Linked DNA regions of Cricetulus griseus. The protein of the gene in region 1 binds, or shares a complex with, the protein of each later gene. Links are inferred from orthologs where the notes say so. Each region holds a gene or a part of one and is shown on either strand. Other genes may lie near its edges.

The links.
Region 2: the proteins of Skp1 (region 1) and Fbxl5 are in contact, whole or in part, in a cryo-EM structure (PDB 6VCD), measured with the Homo sapiens proteins. The link is inferred for Cricetulus griseus from reciprocal best matches to the Homo sapiens genes SKP1 and FBXL5. Residues at the interface, in NP_733779.1 of Homo sapiens: Phe101, Ile104, Leu105, Asn108, Leu116, Asp117, Cys120, Lys121, Val123, Ala124, Ile127, Lys128, Gly129, Lys130, Pro132, Ile135, Arg136, Phe139, Ile141, Asp144, Phe145, Glu149, Val153, Arg154, Glu156, Asn157, Gln158, Trp159, Cys160; in NP_036293.1 of Homo sapiens: Ile205, His207, Leu208, Pro209, Val212, Ser215, Ile216, Tyr219, Leu220, Gln223, Glu224, Cys226, Arg227, Cys228, Ser229, Gln230, Val231, Ser232, Met233, Trp235, Ser236, Lys240, Trp245, Arg315, Leu316, Gly319, Leu320, Asn323, Val324, Tyr327.
Region 3: Skp1 (region 1) and Fbxo11 share a complex: the UniProt entries of both Homo sapiens proteins name them as parts of the SCF(FBXO11) complex. The link is inferred for Cricetulus griseus from reciprocal best matches to the Homo sapiens genes SKP1 and FBXO11.
Region 4: the proteins of Skp1 (region 1) and Fbxl3 are in contact, whole or in part, in a crystal structure (PDB 4I6J), measured with the Homo sapiens proteins. The link is inferred for Cricetulus griseus from reciprocal best matches to the Homo sapiens genes SKP1 and FBXL3. Residues at the interface, in NP_733779.1 of Homo sapiens: Gln97, Leu100, Phe101, Ile104, Leu105, Asn108, Leu116, Asp117, Cys120, Lys121, Val123, Ala124, Ile127, Lys128, Gly129, Lys130, Pro132, Ile135, Arg136, Phe139, Ile141, Lys142, Asn143, Asp144, Phe145, Thr146, Glu149, Glu150, Val153, Arg154; in NP_036290.1 of Homo sapiens: Asp35, Trp36, Gly37, Leu39, Leu40, Ile43, Gln46, Val47, Tyr50, Leu51, Leu53, Leu54, Asp55, Ala57, His58, Ala59, Ser60, Gln61, Val62, Cys63, Arg64, Trp66, Asn67, Phe70, Glu82, Lys92, Ala93, Thr94, His95, Glu97.

What each region holds. Positions count from the first base shown.
Region 1 is NC_048600.1:66,399,232-66,403,555, reverse strand, and holds the start of Skp1 (S-phase kinase-associated protein 1), read right to left. Parts: upstream 2,824-4,324; 5' UTR 2,670-2,823; intron 1,568-2,669; exon of another isoform or gene 1,416-1,567; intron 1-1,415. UniProt on the Homo sapiens protein: Essential component of the SCF (SKP1-CUL1-F-box protein) ubiquitin ligase complex, which mediates the ubiquitination of proteins involved in cell cycle progression, signal transduction and transcription.
Region 2 is NW_023276807.1:112,389,051-112,393,261, reverse strand, and holds the start of Fbxl5 (F-box/LRR-repeat protein 5), read left to right. Parts: upstream 1-1,374; 5' UTR 1,375-1,462; coding exon 1,463-1,546; intron 1,547-4,211.
Region 3 is NC_048598.1:89,623,478-89,627,038, reverse strand, and holds part of Fbxo11 (F-box only protein 11), read left to right. Parts: intron 1-556; coding exon 557-701; intron 702-3,397; coding exon 3,398-3,527; intron 3,528-3,561. UniProt on the Homo sapiens protein: Substrate recognition component of a SCF (SKP1-CUL1-F-box protein) E3 ubiquitin-protein ligase complex which mediates the ubiquitination and subsequent proteasomal degradation of target proteins, such as DTL/CDT2, BCL6, SNAI1 and PRDM1/BLIMP1.
Region 4 is NW_023276807.1:254,746,667-254,750,227, forward strand, and holds part of Fbxl3 (F-box/LRR-repeat protein 3), read right to left. Parts: intron 2,687-3,561; 5' UTR 2,686-2,686; coding exon 2,338-2,685; intron 1-2,337. UniProt on the Homo sapiens protein: Substrate-recognition component of the SCF(FBXL3) E3 ubiquitin ligase complex involved in circadian rhythm function. Plays a key role in the maintenance of both the speed and the robustness of the circadian clock oscillation.

The DNA.
Region 1 (4,324 bases):
GGCCTACAGAATGAGTTCCAGCACTACACAGAGAAACCAGTCCTGTAATGCCCAATATTTGGAAGACTAAGGCCAGGAGGATAATAAATTCAAGGACTGCCCAGGTTATATAATGAGTTCAAGCCAGCCTGGGAGAACTCAGTAAGGGCCTGCTTCAAAACAAAATACCAAAGAGGCTGTGGATATAGCTCAGTAGTATAATTACCTAACACTGTCCTCTCCTCCTGTCCAAAAGGTGAGCCAGTAAATAAGTACATGCCATAATCCCAGCATTTAGGCAACCAGAAGGATCAGGAGTCCAAAGCCATCTTGACACATAGGAAGGAAGTATGAGGCTAGCCTGGGTTTCATGAGACCCTGTCTCAAAAACGGAACTCAACAGCCCAAATCTCCAAAAATCTCATGGACTCAGATAAAATATGAGCCATTAGGAAAAATATAATTCATATATAAAAAAGGTAGGAAACCGAAAACTCCTAACATGACTTGAATTTGAGGGAAAGTAAAAAAAAAAATCTAAAACTAAAAGCTCAAAGCAAGCCTGAAATTTCTTATCACCTTCAGATTTCTCCCACATTGCTCCAAAGAGGATTAATTCAAGACCTCTTTAAAATTCATATGCAACTTTTTTTTAGGGGTTGTTTGTTTTTTGAGAAGGGGTTCTTCTGTGTAGCCCTGGCAGTCCTGGAACTTGCTCTGTAGACAGAGCTAGTCTTAAACTCAGAGATCTACCTGCCTCTGCCTCCAGTGCAGAGACTAAAGGTGTGTACCAAGCTTGACTCACAAGCAACTGTTAAAGTCTGTGATTTTGAGGTAGACAATCCTCCAATGTTACTATCTACTAACTTAAGGTACCTCTGAAGCTTTCTGATCTAGGTTGTATTAAGAAACAATGTGAAGCCAGCACTCGGGAGGCAGAGGCAGGCGGATCTCTGTGAGTTCAAGGCCAGCCTGGTCTCCAGAGCGAGTGCCAGGATAGGCTCCAAAGCTACACAGAGAAACCCTGGGGGGAGGGGGGCGACAATGTGAATTTTCACAAAAGCCTGGTGTTTGGCATTTAAAATAATTACTTCGCCCATTTTACCCTCACACACTTAAGACTCGACATCTCTTAAAATTCTCTTAAATTCAGCTTTCCTCCGACACTTGTCCCCATGCCTCAAGCAAACAAGCTGGGGCAGGGGTGAGCTAAATCATTTTACAATCATCCACTAAAATACCCAGCTCTCCCTCACCCATGGTTTGAGAGAATCAGATTTCACTTTTCCACTCACAAACATGTCTGCTTCTCCATGTTTCTCAGTGCTTGCCAATAATGCAGAACAGAGAAGCCCAGAGCAGCAGACCCTCCCTATAATAAGGCAACAACACAGTTAACAGTGAAGGGAGGCTAGTTTTTCATAGCAAAACATTACCTTCTTTCTATAGTCCCCAGTACTGTAACGAACACTCCAGAACAAGTCTAACTACGTAGTTGATAGAATTACTTTAAAAGCAACATCATTCCATATTTCCTTGAAATAATCCACAATAAGTAAAGATGTGCTTAGTCATAGTAGAATTCAGGTATTAGGTTGCTTGTGCGGGAGCCAGGATCTTATTAAATGACAGGGAGACAATCGGTTAATCTGTAATTCAATGCACTCTGTAATCCTAGACTTAACTTTCGGTGTTGTGTTGGAATTAAGTGCAAAATTTTCAAGTAATAATGCATGAGATTTCGACCTGACATGCTTTCAAAAAAATAATAATAATAAAAAAAACCTTCAGTTTTCTAACTCCTGGACTTGGAAATTAAACAACCTAAAGAATTCTAGTACACCAGACTTAAAAAACAATCTGTTTTTAAGTGACTCGAAATTCTGACACTTGCTATTAGACTGCAGGATGGAAGGGGCTGCATTGTTCTATGCCACAGACACATTCTACTGTGACATTCGGAAGAAAAACTGCAAGTCCCCAAACCTGCGGACTCCATTAAAAAAAAAGTGAACCAAAGGGCAGATGTCACACTATCCCTTTAAAGAACCCAGGCATCTCAAGTTTAGGAGTCGGAAGCTCCTAAAAGACACACCTCAGAGGACGGGGTCTGCTATTACAGTAGCTAAGTTCAGAGACTGCAGGACACGACAAAACAACGCAAAGAAATATCGAGTCTGTACCTGCAGTTTCGGTGGTAGAAGAAGCGAGACCAAAAGGGAGCTAGTGGCGCCAGATACAGGCGAGGGAGCCAAAAATCGAGCAGACTAACAACGACCGCCACCACCTGGGCGGCCAACCCCCCCTCCCCCCAAAACGCAGAGCGCCGCCGCCACCTGTCCTGGAGCGCGGGGCAGCAAACCTATCGCCCAGGCAGGCCCGGGCCGAAGCCTGGGCCTTGCAGCCGCGTTCGAGCCTGACTGACGCCGCCCTCAGAGCAGGCTCGTCACAGGGCTCCGCTCACACTCCTCGGGCGAGCGCCGTGAGGACACGCGGCCCGCGGAGGCCTGACTCGGCCGCCTCGCGCCTTCCGCGGTCCAGAGTCGGCAACGGGCCCCACAGTGCCTCAGGCTACGCCAGGCCGAGTCGCCGCCGCCGCCGCCTCGTGCAGGCCATAGCCACCCCGGGGCTCCACCACCGCCCGCCCTCCAGGGACCACGTCCTGGCCCAGCTCGCGGGCGGCTACTCACGGTGCTCGGTCGAGGCTGACGAGCAGCACTCAGACACGACGAGAAATACCGAGGACAAGGCCACTACAGCAACGCCTCGCGGCGGCCGGCTTTTATAGGAGCGGGAAGCGGGCGCCGAGGCCCCCGAGCTCGTGACGTCACACAGCCGGCCGGGCTGGCCGTTGAGATCGCCTGACGGTAGGCGGAGGGCGGCGCGCCAGACCCTGAGCGCTGCAGAGGCCTGCGGGAGAGATGCTGAGGGACATCGGGTGGATGGGCGGCTAGGCAGAGGAGGGGCTTCCGCCTTTCTCCTCTGCCCTCGAGAGCGCCATGCTCTCCTTCAGTGCGGACGCCGGCAGCGGCTGAGGTACCAACGCGACCCTAAGGGTCTTTCAGGCAGGGGCTGTCTTGAACTGCATGAAAGACGCCAGCCCTGAAAAGCCTGGAAACAACAAACCGCAAAAGCGGCTTATGTGTGTTTCACTTAACAGATTCACCTCGTTACTCTCCTAATAACCCAAAGAGGTGAGGTTGTGTTTGCCCACCAGGAATTCGGGATTTGAACCTTACTCCACTGATGCTAATTTAAAAAAAAAAAAAAAAAATCTCACGGCATGTTGAGACCAGGTGTCACTTCAGGCCTAAGAACTTGGGATACTCCTGACTTAGCACACCCTGCCTGTTTGATTGTAAGAGTTTTTTGTTGTTGTTTTGTCTTGTCTTGATGAGACAGTGTCTCGTGTAGTACAGGGTGGCCACAAATTTACTATGTAAACCAAATTGCTCTAAAACCCCCTGCTCTGGGATTGCAGGCCTGAAGTGTTTTGTTTTGAGACCGGTCTTGCTATGTAGACCAGGCTGCCTACCCCCGAGTGACAGCACTGGGATTACAGTCATGCACTACCTTGTTGGATATTTTTAAACATTTATTTCCTACCCTCGACCTTTGAAGAGCCTTCCAGACCCCAAATAGCCATTGTGTTAACGAAGCTCCAAGCCTAGAAAATGAAAACATCGTAATATGTATAATGTGAGAATACATTCTTTGTGTAACCATGCACTCAACCCTGTAGGTGAGGCCAGTGCTGGGATCTAGTAGTGAACCAGGGCAGTCAAGCCCAGCCTGAACAGACTGTGCTGTGTGAGCAGCTCACAGAAGGCTGTGATAAGGTCGCTAGGATGAAACAGCTTTGCAGTAAAGAGGGAGAGGCCTAAAAGCACCCATCTGGCCTCACCCAAGTCAGGAACTGTGCAATTGGTGGCTCTGCCCTGCCCTGCTGTGTCTAGGGAGCATCACTGTCCCCACCAAGGCGCCTGGCTCACCTAGCCAGCAAGCACGTGATAGTATTCCAGACACCACAAAGACAAAAGGCACTTCCACACAGGGCCTCCTAAAGAAACCAGAGACTACAGTTTCTCTAGGACAAGACTGGGCAGAGAGGTCAAGCAATGGCTTGGGTTACCAGGTCTTTGTCTGCGGGCTATGGTATCCAGTGTCTGCCAGGTGCCACTGCTGATGACAGAAGATGAAAGGCCCACATTTCTCAGGCTTTCTCTCTGCAGCACTGCCTGCCCTTCACAGCTCCTGCTTTGGGCCTCCTAGGTAAGGGCCACTGGAGAGCCTTTCTTCCACATGGAGGGCATCTTAAGCAGTACTGGGCAGTGCTGGGTCATAT
Region 2 (4,211 bases), on another chromosome or scaffold:
CCCTGGCATCTCCAGAGGGGAGCTGCTGATGGGCTTTCTGGAATGAAGCAGGGTTTAGGGAGAGAGAGATGGGGGAGGGGGATTAAGGAGGAGCTTCCAGCAGAACAACAGTCTTAATTTCCTAACGCTGTTTACAGACATTGTTATGAGCCTGGTACTCCTATAAGCACTTCAAATATATAAATTTAGCTCTTAAAATCTTATAAAGATACTCCCTCCCGCCCCCCGTTTTACAGAAGATAATATACTTAGGTCGGGCACAGAAGTCCTGTAGCTTTCCTAGGTTAAATACAACTAGGGTTTTGTGAAACAACCTAATTTTCATCTCCGGAGTCTTGTTTTCCTGCTCATCTTGCATGTTAATATCAAATGGTAAGATTAGAACTACACAGATTCGCTCTAGAGTTCTTTCTTATCTCCTTCTACCCCATTTTTGAACATTTGATTCCTTTTACCTGTTGTCATGAATTTGTGGTAGGGGGTAGGAAGGTGAATATCGCATATCTTCTGTTTACTGTCCAGAAGTTTGTGGCAATTAGCACATCATTCACAGGTTCTCAGCCTTGCCCTTGTTTCCTCTATTTCTCTATCAGTCCTAAAGCCACAGATGAGAGCTGCTTCCATTAAGTCGGAAAAGCATACTGGAGGGCTTAGATGAGGAAAGGTGAAGTGTAGGGGCGAGACCTACTGGCCTTTCTCTGGGCAGTGACCTCGTTTAAGGCCCTTTCTTCTTGTCTGAGCGCCTTCGGTTTAAAATGGCGGGATTTGTGCTAAGGCTGTTTGCCTATTAGACCGCCATGATGGCTCGCCCTTCCCCCACCAGGCTCATCTGGCCGCTCTGGGGTTGCTGTTCCCGTACTGGGTGTCTGTCCTCCTTCTGGCATCTCCAGTTCCCCATGGCCAACCTCCCACCCTCACACCAACGCTCCACGCAGGGGCGAGACAAGGGGCTGCCATGTCTCCTGACCTCAGCCACAGCGCGGAGGCCCGGCTAGCGAGGCCCAGAGCCGGCAGCCCCGGCCTAGCAAACCCCGAGGCAGCGAGGGCGGCTGGGCGCTCGGAGCGCTCACAGTCACCCCGATCGTAGAGCTTAGGCTCGACCCGACCACGCAGGTCAACTGCCCCGCCTCAAGTCACGGAGGAGCACCCTTGAAGACCCCCGCCCTCAGACACTGCGCTTTTAGGAGAAGACACGGTCAGGTCTCTGCACAGCAGAGGGGGGGAACGTGCACGCAGACGGGAGGTGGAATCCGTACGCCTCGGCGCGCGCTGGTCACGTGGGCTGCGGCATCGCATGGCGGCGGCCCGCGCGCTCCCGCGGAGCGGCCGCGGAGCGGCCCGGGCGCGCGCGCCGACGGGGCGGGCGCATGCGCAGGGGGGCGCGCCGCCTCTGCCCCGCGGCGAGGGTGTCTATGGAGAGGCGGCGGCTGCGGCTGCTGAGGCGGACGCTGAAGCTGTGGCGATGGCTCCCTTCCCCGATGAAGTGGACGTCTTCACCGCCCCACACTGGCGGATGAAGCAGCTGGTGGGGCGCTACTGCGACAAGGTAACGGAGCGCGGGGCGGAGGGCGGCGCGGAGGAGCGGGCGGGTTCCGGGCGGCCTGGCCTGCGCGCCTCCCGCCGCCCCCGGGTTGGGGCCGTACGATCAGCCGCCTGCGCCCCGTCAGCCGCGCGCCTCCCGCACCTTCCCGCCCGGTCCCTGGGAAGCCCGCGCCGGCCGCGGCCTGGGACGTGCCTTCGGGGCGCGCGGCGCCTGCCCAGCGTCCTGCTCGCGGGTCTGGCCTGTGCGGGGGTGAGGGGCGCTCCCGGAGCCGCAGCCGCTGTCCCTTCAGGGTTGGAGAGACCCGGGTCGGTCGCCCGCGGGAGCTCCCGGTCCGCGTCCGCAGGCCGCTTCTGCGGTTGCTCGCCACCGCGGGACTGCCCGCCCGGCCCCTTCGGGCTCTTTGAGTCGCTTTGCAAACATTGCGTCCCCCGCCTGGACCTGTGACTTGCTTCCCGGCTCCATGGGCAGCGTCTTGAAGCCACCGGAGCGGGTTTATTTTCCCTGCCAGTGTCGCACTGGTTTGGTTCCGCACGCAGGGGCCGGGGAAGACCTGCACGCTACATTTCTGTTTACCTTTTTTCCTTCCAGCTTTTATTTTTCCCGAATATTTAGTCCTTGTTGATTTTGGTTTAAGACAGCTAGCTGTTCCTCTGTTGGCCTTAGGGAAAGTTGGTTTGCTGTGAAACTCGTTTTGGACTTTTAATTGATGTCGCCTAAATTGAATTACTTTTATGGAAATGAGTTGAAGGTCTTTTTCTAATGTTTCTTAAAATTCCCATTTGTCAGTTTATGTTTGGAAGGTCAAATATGTGTAAACTCTGGGCACGTCCTGTGTTTGGTAAGAATGAACCAAATAAATAGCTGTTAAGTAATTATTACTTAAACACAGACATAAGTTGAATTTTCAGAAATTACACAGAATTAGCACCATATTAACAGCAAGTAAGAGTTGGCCTACAACCCAGAGAACCCAGTGTCTTCATTGGTAGGTCACAGGAAGACCGGCAATTTGAAGTTTCAGATCTTAGCATTACTGTCCGACAACCCTTTCTCTATCTCCATTTTGGGAAAAGAAAAAACAAAACAACAAACAAACCCAGTCCGAGTCAGGTGTACCTTTAAACACACTGTTTAGATCATGGTTCTCCACTTCGTTGCTCTTTAAAATCCGACCCCATTCATATTGGATGTCTGAGCATGGAACCCAGATATCAAGTGTAATTTTGAGCTCTCAGGTGAGAGTGGGGTACAACGAGGGTGATTATCTCTTTTATCTAGGAGAAACTTAACGACTGGTTAACCCTTGAGCAGAAGAGTATAATCTTGCATTTTTCAGTTAGTGGTTTTGTTTTTATAATCTCCACTTTTTGGATTTTTTTTTCTCACACTATGCTTTAATTTCAGGCAAGGAAAAACTTTTCCCCCACTTTTCTTAAAAAGCAAAAGGGGAATTTAATGAGGACTGATTAAATCCAAGGCTTTACTCTGATTTTGTCGAGAGGGAGTCGAGAGACTCTCTGGTGATAATGGGAAATGTTGTCAGTTTGTACACTTCCATATGAGCTTTCTGGTATTTAAGATGTTTCAGGTTGCCAAAGGATTATGACCAATCCAGATTATCAAAATTTATAATGTACTACTCAGTCTCTTTAAAAACAATATTCTTTTGTTTTCCTACTTTTTTTGACACAGTTTTCTCCCCTAGTCCAGGCTGGCCTTGAGAATTCACTACATTGCACAGACTGGCCTTGAACTTCTGAGCTTCCTGCTTCCACCTTCCAGGTTCAAGAATTACAGGCATTTGTCACCCCACTGGGCACAGCCATTATTTTTGTGTCTCTTTTTGGTGTTTGAGAACATTTGAGCAAATTTTGGAAATGCAGTTGACTTAAATAAAATGAGTCAAATAAGATTCTTCTCAGTAGTTAAATGTTCCCTCTTGCATAGCCAGTTTAATAAAGCATGTTTAATTTGGTATAGTTTTATTTCAAATTGACTCTGATTTGTTCCCAGCATTGTATAGAAGTCATTAATTCTGAATTAATTGCATGTAGTTAATGAGATTATTGCTTATATTCCTCAAGAATACTAAAAGTTTCAGTTTTCTTAACTATGACCAAAGCAATTTAATGACGAAAAAAGAACTGCACAGTAATTTCCATCATTTTTTCTAGTTACCAATGACCAGTGGAAGGTTCTCTGGGTGTCCTTTGTGAGCAGAAGTGGGAAAATAACTTTTTTGATGGCAGACTAGCCTTAAAGAACTAAGAGTTGTTTTGGTTAGTTTGTCATTTCCAGGTTTGCCATTGTCATCTTTCTTTTAGTTGTATAGATCAAGGTTATCTGATCCAAATAACCTGCAGTAAAACTGCAAAATGAGAACTAGTTTTTGGTTAAAGCTAAAAACTACAAAGTATGTTATTTCACTGTATTCTTGATATTGACTGAGAATGTCCAGAAACCATAAAGATTTCAATTTTATTCCCAGTATTGAACTTGTAAAACACAGTATATTCACAAAATGATTTCTTTAGGATCATCAAATCAGTTTTTCTGTGCTTTGAGTAATTTACTTAGAGCGAATTATTAAGTTGTTACAGATTATGTTAAATATTTCTGTATAATAGTTTAATGTGTTGCCTGTGGATTTTCTTTATTAAAAAAAGTC
Region 3 (3,561 bases), on another chromosome or scaffold:
TTTAAGACTTATTTTTTATTTTTAATTATGGGTGTATGTGTTTCTGTGGAGAGGGTATTAATTACAATTGCCTGAATAGGCTAGAAGAAGGCATTGGGTTTCCTGGACCTGGGTTTACAGGAGGTTTTGAGTTTCTGGTTATGGGTGCTGAAAACCAAGCACAGGTCCCCTGCAAGAGCAGTGCCAACTCCTGCCTTATTTTCATATAAAAGTCTTTTTTTTTTTTTTTTTTTTTTAAGTAGCCAGGCCAGATGGTAGAGCCATAAAGCGGAGCTACTTGGGAGGCTAATAAGGGCATGAGCAGGGTTAGAGGGTTGGAAAATTAGTGCCTCCCTAAGTTAGTGAGTTGAAGGCCAGCTTAGGAAACTTTTCAAGACTGCCTTAAACATAAAACAAACAAAAACCCCTGTGTGTTGGGGTGGAGGGGGCGCATGGGCGCACGAATATATGTAAGATAAAAGGAAAATAGAACTCATCAAAAAATAGAAATTATTCTTTAATAAGGAAACCATTGCTTGGTAAATACATTGCTTACACTTTGTTAATCTTTTTTTAGCAGCACCTGCTGAACAGTATCTTCAGGAGAAACTGCCAGATGAAGTAGTTTTAAAAATTTTCTCTTACTTGCTGGAACAGGATCTTTGTAGAGCCGCTTGTGTGTGTAAACGCTTCAGTGAACTTGCTAATGATCCAATTTTGTGGTAAGTGTAAACCTCCTTGTTATCTTGAAATACAGTATGTGATGCCTAAAATGCCAAAATGTAGGGAAGTTGAAGTGTGAGTTTCTAGTTAGAGCTAAGTAGTTAAAAGAAAAATTAAAATGTTTATAGACTCTGTTACCTGATTATCATAAATGTGGAGAACTTGTCAACTCAAGAAATGTTTATAAACCAGTAATTGAAATGGTTTCGGCTGTTTATAAGTTGATTTAACAGCTGAGTGATTTGGGAAGAAATGTTTTATTTGTGCAGTCTGGTGTGGTGTTGAAGACAGAATCTTGTGTAGCCGAGGCTGCCCTTGAACTCCTGAAATCTGTCTGCCTCTGCATTTGCCTCCCAAGTGCTGGGATCAGAGGCATGTGTACAACCACCCACCCAGCCTGGTCTACAGAGTTAGTTCCAGGATAGCCAAGGCTACATAGAGAAGCCCTGTCTCAGAGAGGGAGAAGAAAGAAGGAGAGAGGGAGAGGGAGAGAGGAAAGAAAGAGATGCTCGGAAGAAAGTAGGGCACACCAGGAACATGGATATGAGTCATGTAAAGATATGCCCAAGTGTTGGTACAGGCTCCTCAAGGGCCTCATTTTTTGAAAGCAGGGCTAATTGGGCTGGTGGCACCAAACCTTTAATCCCAATCCCAGCAGAGACAGACAGAGTTCAAAGTCAGTTTGTTTGGTTTACAAAAAGAATACCAGCCTGGGCTACATATGAGACCTTGTCTCAAAAACAAAGTAAAAAAAAAAAAAAAAAAAAAAAAAATTTGGCTGGGTGATAGTGGTGTATAGTGTTGTATGCTTTTGATACCAGCATTCAGGAGTCAGAGGCAGACAGATCTCTGAGAGTTTGAAGCCAAGCCAACCTGCTCTCCAGCATGAATTCCATTATACAGAAAAGCTCTTGTCTGGGAATAAATAGGGCAGGGGGAGAGGAATCAGCCAAGTGTAATTTTAAAATAGTTCTTTAGACCTAGTAGTTCAGTGAGTATATATGTTACGTTATACATACCTGAAAAATAGTTATAGTTATAACTTTTTTTGTTTGTTTTTCAAGACAGGGTTTCTCTGTGGTTTTGGAGCCTCTTCTGGTACTAGCTCTTATAGACCAGGCTGGTCTTGAACTCACAGAGATCCACCTGCCTCTGCCTCCCCAGTGCTGGGATTAAAGGCGTGTGTGCCACCACCACCTGGCTTATATTTATAACTTTAAATACACATTCCCTTTAGCCTAGTCATTGTATTTATGAAAATGTTTTCACTTTTTGCACAGTTTTTCATAACCACATGTAAGTAATGAGTAGGGAAGTGGAAATGATCTCCTTCCAGCAGTAAGGAAACGAGGTAAGGTCTGGCACTAGGATTGGTCACTTGCCCTTTCTGAGGGCCTGGTTGGGTTCCCAGCAGCACCACACACACACACACACACACACACACACACACACACACACACACTCTCCTCCCAGAAGTCCTGCAAACACACCTTTTACAAAAAGAGGGAAATGAGTGAACTGTATGATGCTGGTTAGAAGATTGAGATAAATCTGCTAGCCGTGAATTTTACTTTAGACAAAGTTAGGGGTTTTAAGTCAGGTCTGGTACACCCCTATAATCTTAGGGCTTGGATGGTAGAGGCAAGAGACTCAGTTCCCCAGCTCCATAGGAAAGTTGAGGTTGCCTGAAACTCTGTCCAAAAGAAACCAACATGAAACAAAAGGTGAACGGAGCAGAGTAAGGTTTGTTACCCTTTCAGAAGGGAAAGACACTTGCCACCAAGCCTCACAGCCTGCATTTGATGTCTGGATCCAGAAGTAGTCTCTGACCTTCACATGAGCATGGCATGTACATACTCCTCTAACCCACACAGAGATTTAAAAAAATAATTAAAACCTTTTAAAAAACATGTTTTATGCTGATTAATCAAAGAAAATGAACAATGTATAGGTAAAAAAGACTGGAAGAAAAATACGTCAAACATTAGTAATGAATGCATTGAAACTGTGTGCTATCTTTTATGCTTGGGTTTTATGGAGCAGGAGAGGAGAGTGTGTGTAGTCAGGGTCTTTTTGGTGTTTTGAGACAGGGTTTCTCTGTGAAACAGCTTTGGCTGTCCTAGAACTCACACTGTAAAGCAGGCTGACCTCAAATTGACAAAGATCCACCTGCCTCTTCCTCTGCCTCCCAAGTACTGGGATTAAGGGTACATGCCACCACTGCTGGCTTTTTTAAATTAAGAATTTCATAAAATATATTTTGTTAGCCAGGTGTAGTGACACATGTCTTAAATCCCAACACTCGAAGGCAGAGGCCGGTAGATCTTTAGTTCTAGGCCAATCTGGTCTACACAGTGAGTTCCAGGACAGCTAGAGGTACTTCGTGAGACCCTGTCTTGAGGGGAAAAAAAGGTATTTTGTCTGCATAGTGGCACACATCTGTGGTCCCAGGTACTCAGAAGGGTAAGGCAGGAGGCTCTCTTGAGCCCAGGAGTTTGGAGCCAGCCTGGACAACACAGAGGCCCTACACTGCCAGTGCCGTCTGAGGAACTGATCAGTTAACTAATTTCTATTATTTTGTTATTTAATTTATCTGTCCTTACTGAAATTTTGGTCATTCAGATGACATATTTAATATTTTATTAATCTAGAGAGTATTTTATAAGAAAATCTTTAATTCCTTTTTTCCCTTCAGGAAACGATTATATATGGAAGTATTTGAATATACCCGCCCTATGATGCATCCTGAACCTGGTAAATTCTACCAAATTAATCCAGAAGAATATGAACATCCAAATCCATGGAAAGAGAGTTTTCAGCAATTGGTATGAAATACAGAAAATACAGATCTACATTTTG
Region 4 (3,561 bases), on another chromosome or scaffold:
ATGTAAATAGTGTCTACGTTTCAGGACACCTGAAGACACTAATGTCATTTAGAATTTTCAGATGAACCACATAACCTGACATTGCTCAGTGTTCTGAATTGAAAGATGCATTAGAGAAAAGTAAGAGTGTCCAATTAAACAAGCACAAAATAAACTGAACCAAAATAGAGGTTGCTGCTTAGTTCCCCGAAGTAAAGGACAATACAATCAAACACCCACACCTGAAGGGTAAAAGTTAGTTTATCTCTAGACTACAAATGTTAAATACCGTAACTTTCATTCCCAAGTAAATGTGTGTTTTATTGCATGCCAAAGGAGCTCTTAAGTTGCTATCATGTGGGCAAACAATGCACTAATCACAGCTCTCAAAATGAGGTTCCCAAACCACATGACAATGATCTGGATACTGGATACAAGCAAATTCTTATCCTAAACCAAACCATCTGAATTATAAAGTCGGTGAGTGGGAGGCGCAAGCTCTGCCTTTACACCCGCCTTGGTGAGGCTACTGAGCACAGTCTGAGGAGCACTGTTTTGGCTTAAAGTTTTCTTGAGTTTACAGTGACCACTTAACTATTATCAGGAGAGGCCAGAATAATCCCTGCTGTGTCCCTGCTTTCTAAATCAGAAATGGCAAAATACATCCCTGACAAAAAGTAATTTAAGTACAAATGAGTTCCATAAGTTGGATGTACCTGAGCTCTATCACTGGACTGTAAGTGACTATAAGGACTAAACACCAAGGACCCAGGCAGCCTACTATACAGAAGGACCTTTTACAATCTACTCAAATCACTTCTATTACAAGTTCTCCTATCTTACCAGAAGACAGATAGTATTTAGTAACAGCATAAAGGTCTAGGTGAAGACCACTGCTTACTACAGATTTAACCCAATTCCTTTAGCAAACAGGAAACAAAGGCAAGTCAGGCAATGACAGGCAATTCTATGCTTTTACTTTTTTGGGTTTTGTTTTTAACGTTTTTTTGTTTGTTTGTTTTTCAAGACAGGGTTTCTCTGTATAACAGTCCTAGCTGTCCTGGAATTCACTTTGTAGACCAGGCTGACCTCAAATTCATGGAGATCTGCCTGCCTCCGCCTCCCAAGTGCTGGGCTTAAAGGTGTGTGCCACCACTACCCGGCTGTTTTTAACATTTTTAAGAGAGAAGGCCTTACTATATACAGCCCAGGGAGGCCTCAAATAGTTGATTCTCTTGCCTCAGCCTCCCCAGTCCTAAAGTTACATGTGAGAGTCACCATGCCCGGCACATTTTCATCTTTTAACGCTAATTGTTAAAGAAAAATTTAGTATCAAGGATTCAGTGAGCATCCCAAAATACAACATGATAAACCCTTGTTCTCACACAAGCTCCTATGATTTCATATAACACTCTTCAAATCTCCAAATACCACCTTCCTTCACTCATCTCAGCATGACACATGCTCTCTCTCATCTCACCATTACACGTGCTCTTACTCGCCCCTTGTAACACTGAAATGAAGCAATCCCCCTCTTCCGTTTCCCTCTAAAATACACTCAAGTTGAAAAGTTCGATTCTATACCATCTTTAGATTTAGGGCTTTTTTTTTTTCTTTTTTAAAATGAAAACATATCAAAATAAGAAACACTTGCTGGGTGGTGGTGGCGAATGCCTTTAATCCCAGCACTCCGAAGGCAGAGGCAGGTAGATCTCAGAGTTCGAGGCCAGTCTGGTCTACAGAGTGAGTTCTAGGACAGCCAGAGCTACACCAAGAGACCCTGTCTTGAAAAACAAAATGAAACAAAAGCAGATAAAATAGCCAAGTAAGTTCTGCTCAGTAATCATTCCCCAATGTAGTGGTTCCTAACTTTTGTAATACTGTCTCATGTTGTGGTGACCTCAAACCATAAAATTATTTCATTGCTATTTCATAACTGTAACTTTGATACTGTTATGAGTTGTAATGTATGTATCGATAAGCAGGATATCTGATATGACCCCCCCCCCAAAGAGGTCAAAACCCAGAGACTGAGAACCACTGCCTTAATGTTAATGATACATTGCTCTTTCCTCAAATTTGTTGTTAACCATTCGCTGTTAACTTAAAACTTCAGTCAATTCATGCTCACTTAGTGACTGCTTTTGTTCTTTTAAGTAATTAATTGTAAAGGAGTATTTTAGTTCTATCGAATATTAAAAAATGTTTGCAATGGCTTCTAAGGTGTGCAATAATTTCAAAACTTTAAGCACTTTCCCTATAGAGTCAAATATTTTATAGACATAAGAAGTTGTATTGGTTAGAACATTAAAGCCTCTAAAAATGCTTTATTTTTAACAGAAGGAGTTAAAGTATTACCTTGAAGCTGACATACTGCAGATGGTTTGAATGCCTTTTAATAATCTGTTTGATCAGCTCTGGATGTGTAGCTTTCAAGTAAGATGTAGCTGGCTGATTCAGCTCAAATTCAAAACATCTCCACAAGTCAGGCATGTGAAACACCTGATTCCAATTCCGGCACACTTGGGAAGCATGAGCCCGATCAAGCAGAGGCAAGTACTTAAACACCTGGAGAATAATGTCCTGCAGCAGATTACCCCAATCACAAGGTTGAGAACACTCATGTGCAGTCCTCAGTTTCTTACGTTTCTCTGCAGTGCCTTCTTCAGGTGAGTCAAGGTCACTATCTCTTCCTCCTCGTTTCATCCTATTTAGAAAAATCCGTCATTTTTCCCATCCTACTTAGCTTTTAATCACAAATTCATTTTCTGTCACTGAGACCTATTTGCATTTGGAGAGTTAACAGAAATACACACAGAACTGAATCAATGATTCAAGGAGAATATAAAAATAGAGAGAGGTGATTTCAACCACTACTTATGACCTAAGAAAACCACAGATATATGATTCAAGAGTTGTACTCAATACTGAAAGTGACTAGAAAAGAGCCTATAGTGATACTTTCCAATTTCGTCAGTCACCCAAGGATAACTATATTTGAGTTCTTAAATGTCAAGTCGATCAAGGTGCCTATGAACCTCTAGAGAGGATGAAAGAAAGGTAAGTAGTCAACAGATCTACACTGAATAAATAGCTGTGACAAGTGCCAGTACGGCTGCATATGTCCAAACTTGGGCTAGAGCATAACCCAATGTTAAAGACCTTGCCCGAACCACTCCAGGCCTGTGCTCAACCTGGAACAGCATAAAACAGATTAAATAATTAAGGCAATCCACCTTGACTGCACTGTTTCAGCTGGAATGTGGTTTCTTCCCTCAACTCATTATTGTCACTCTGCTCTCCCTGTCTTTTCCTTTTTTCCTGAATAACACTTCCATGTGTTTTCTACATTACACACTTCATTCCATTTGCTTCTTGAAAAGATGATCTGCTCTCGTAGCCAATGGGACTAGAAGCTCTAAGACCAAGCTTCCTGAGTTTGAGTCTCTGCTCCCCTTCTCACTAGTTGTATGGCTTTGGGTAAATGACAAGACTGTCAGATGTTCCTGTTTGTAAAACGGTGACCTTAAGATACAGGGTTCTTGCTGGGCATTGGTGGCACACACCTTTAATCCCAGCAGG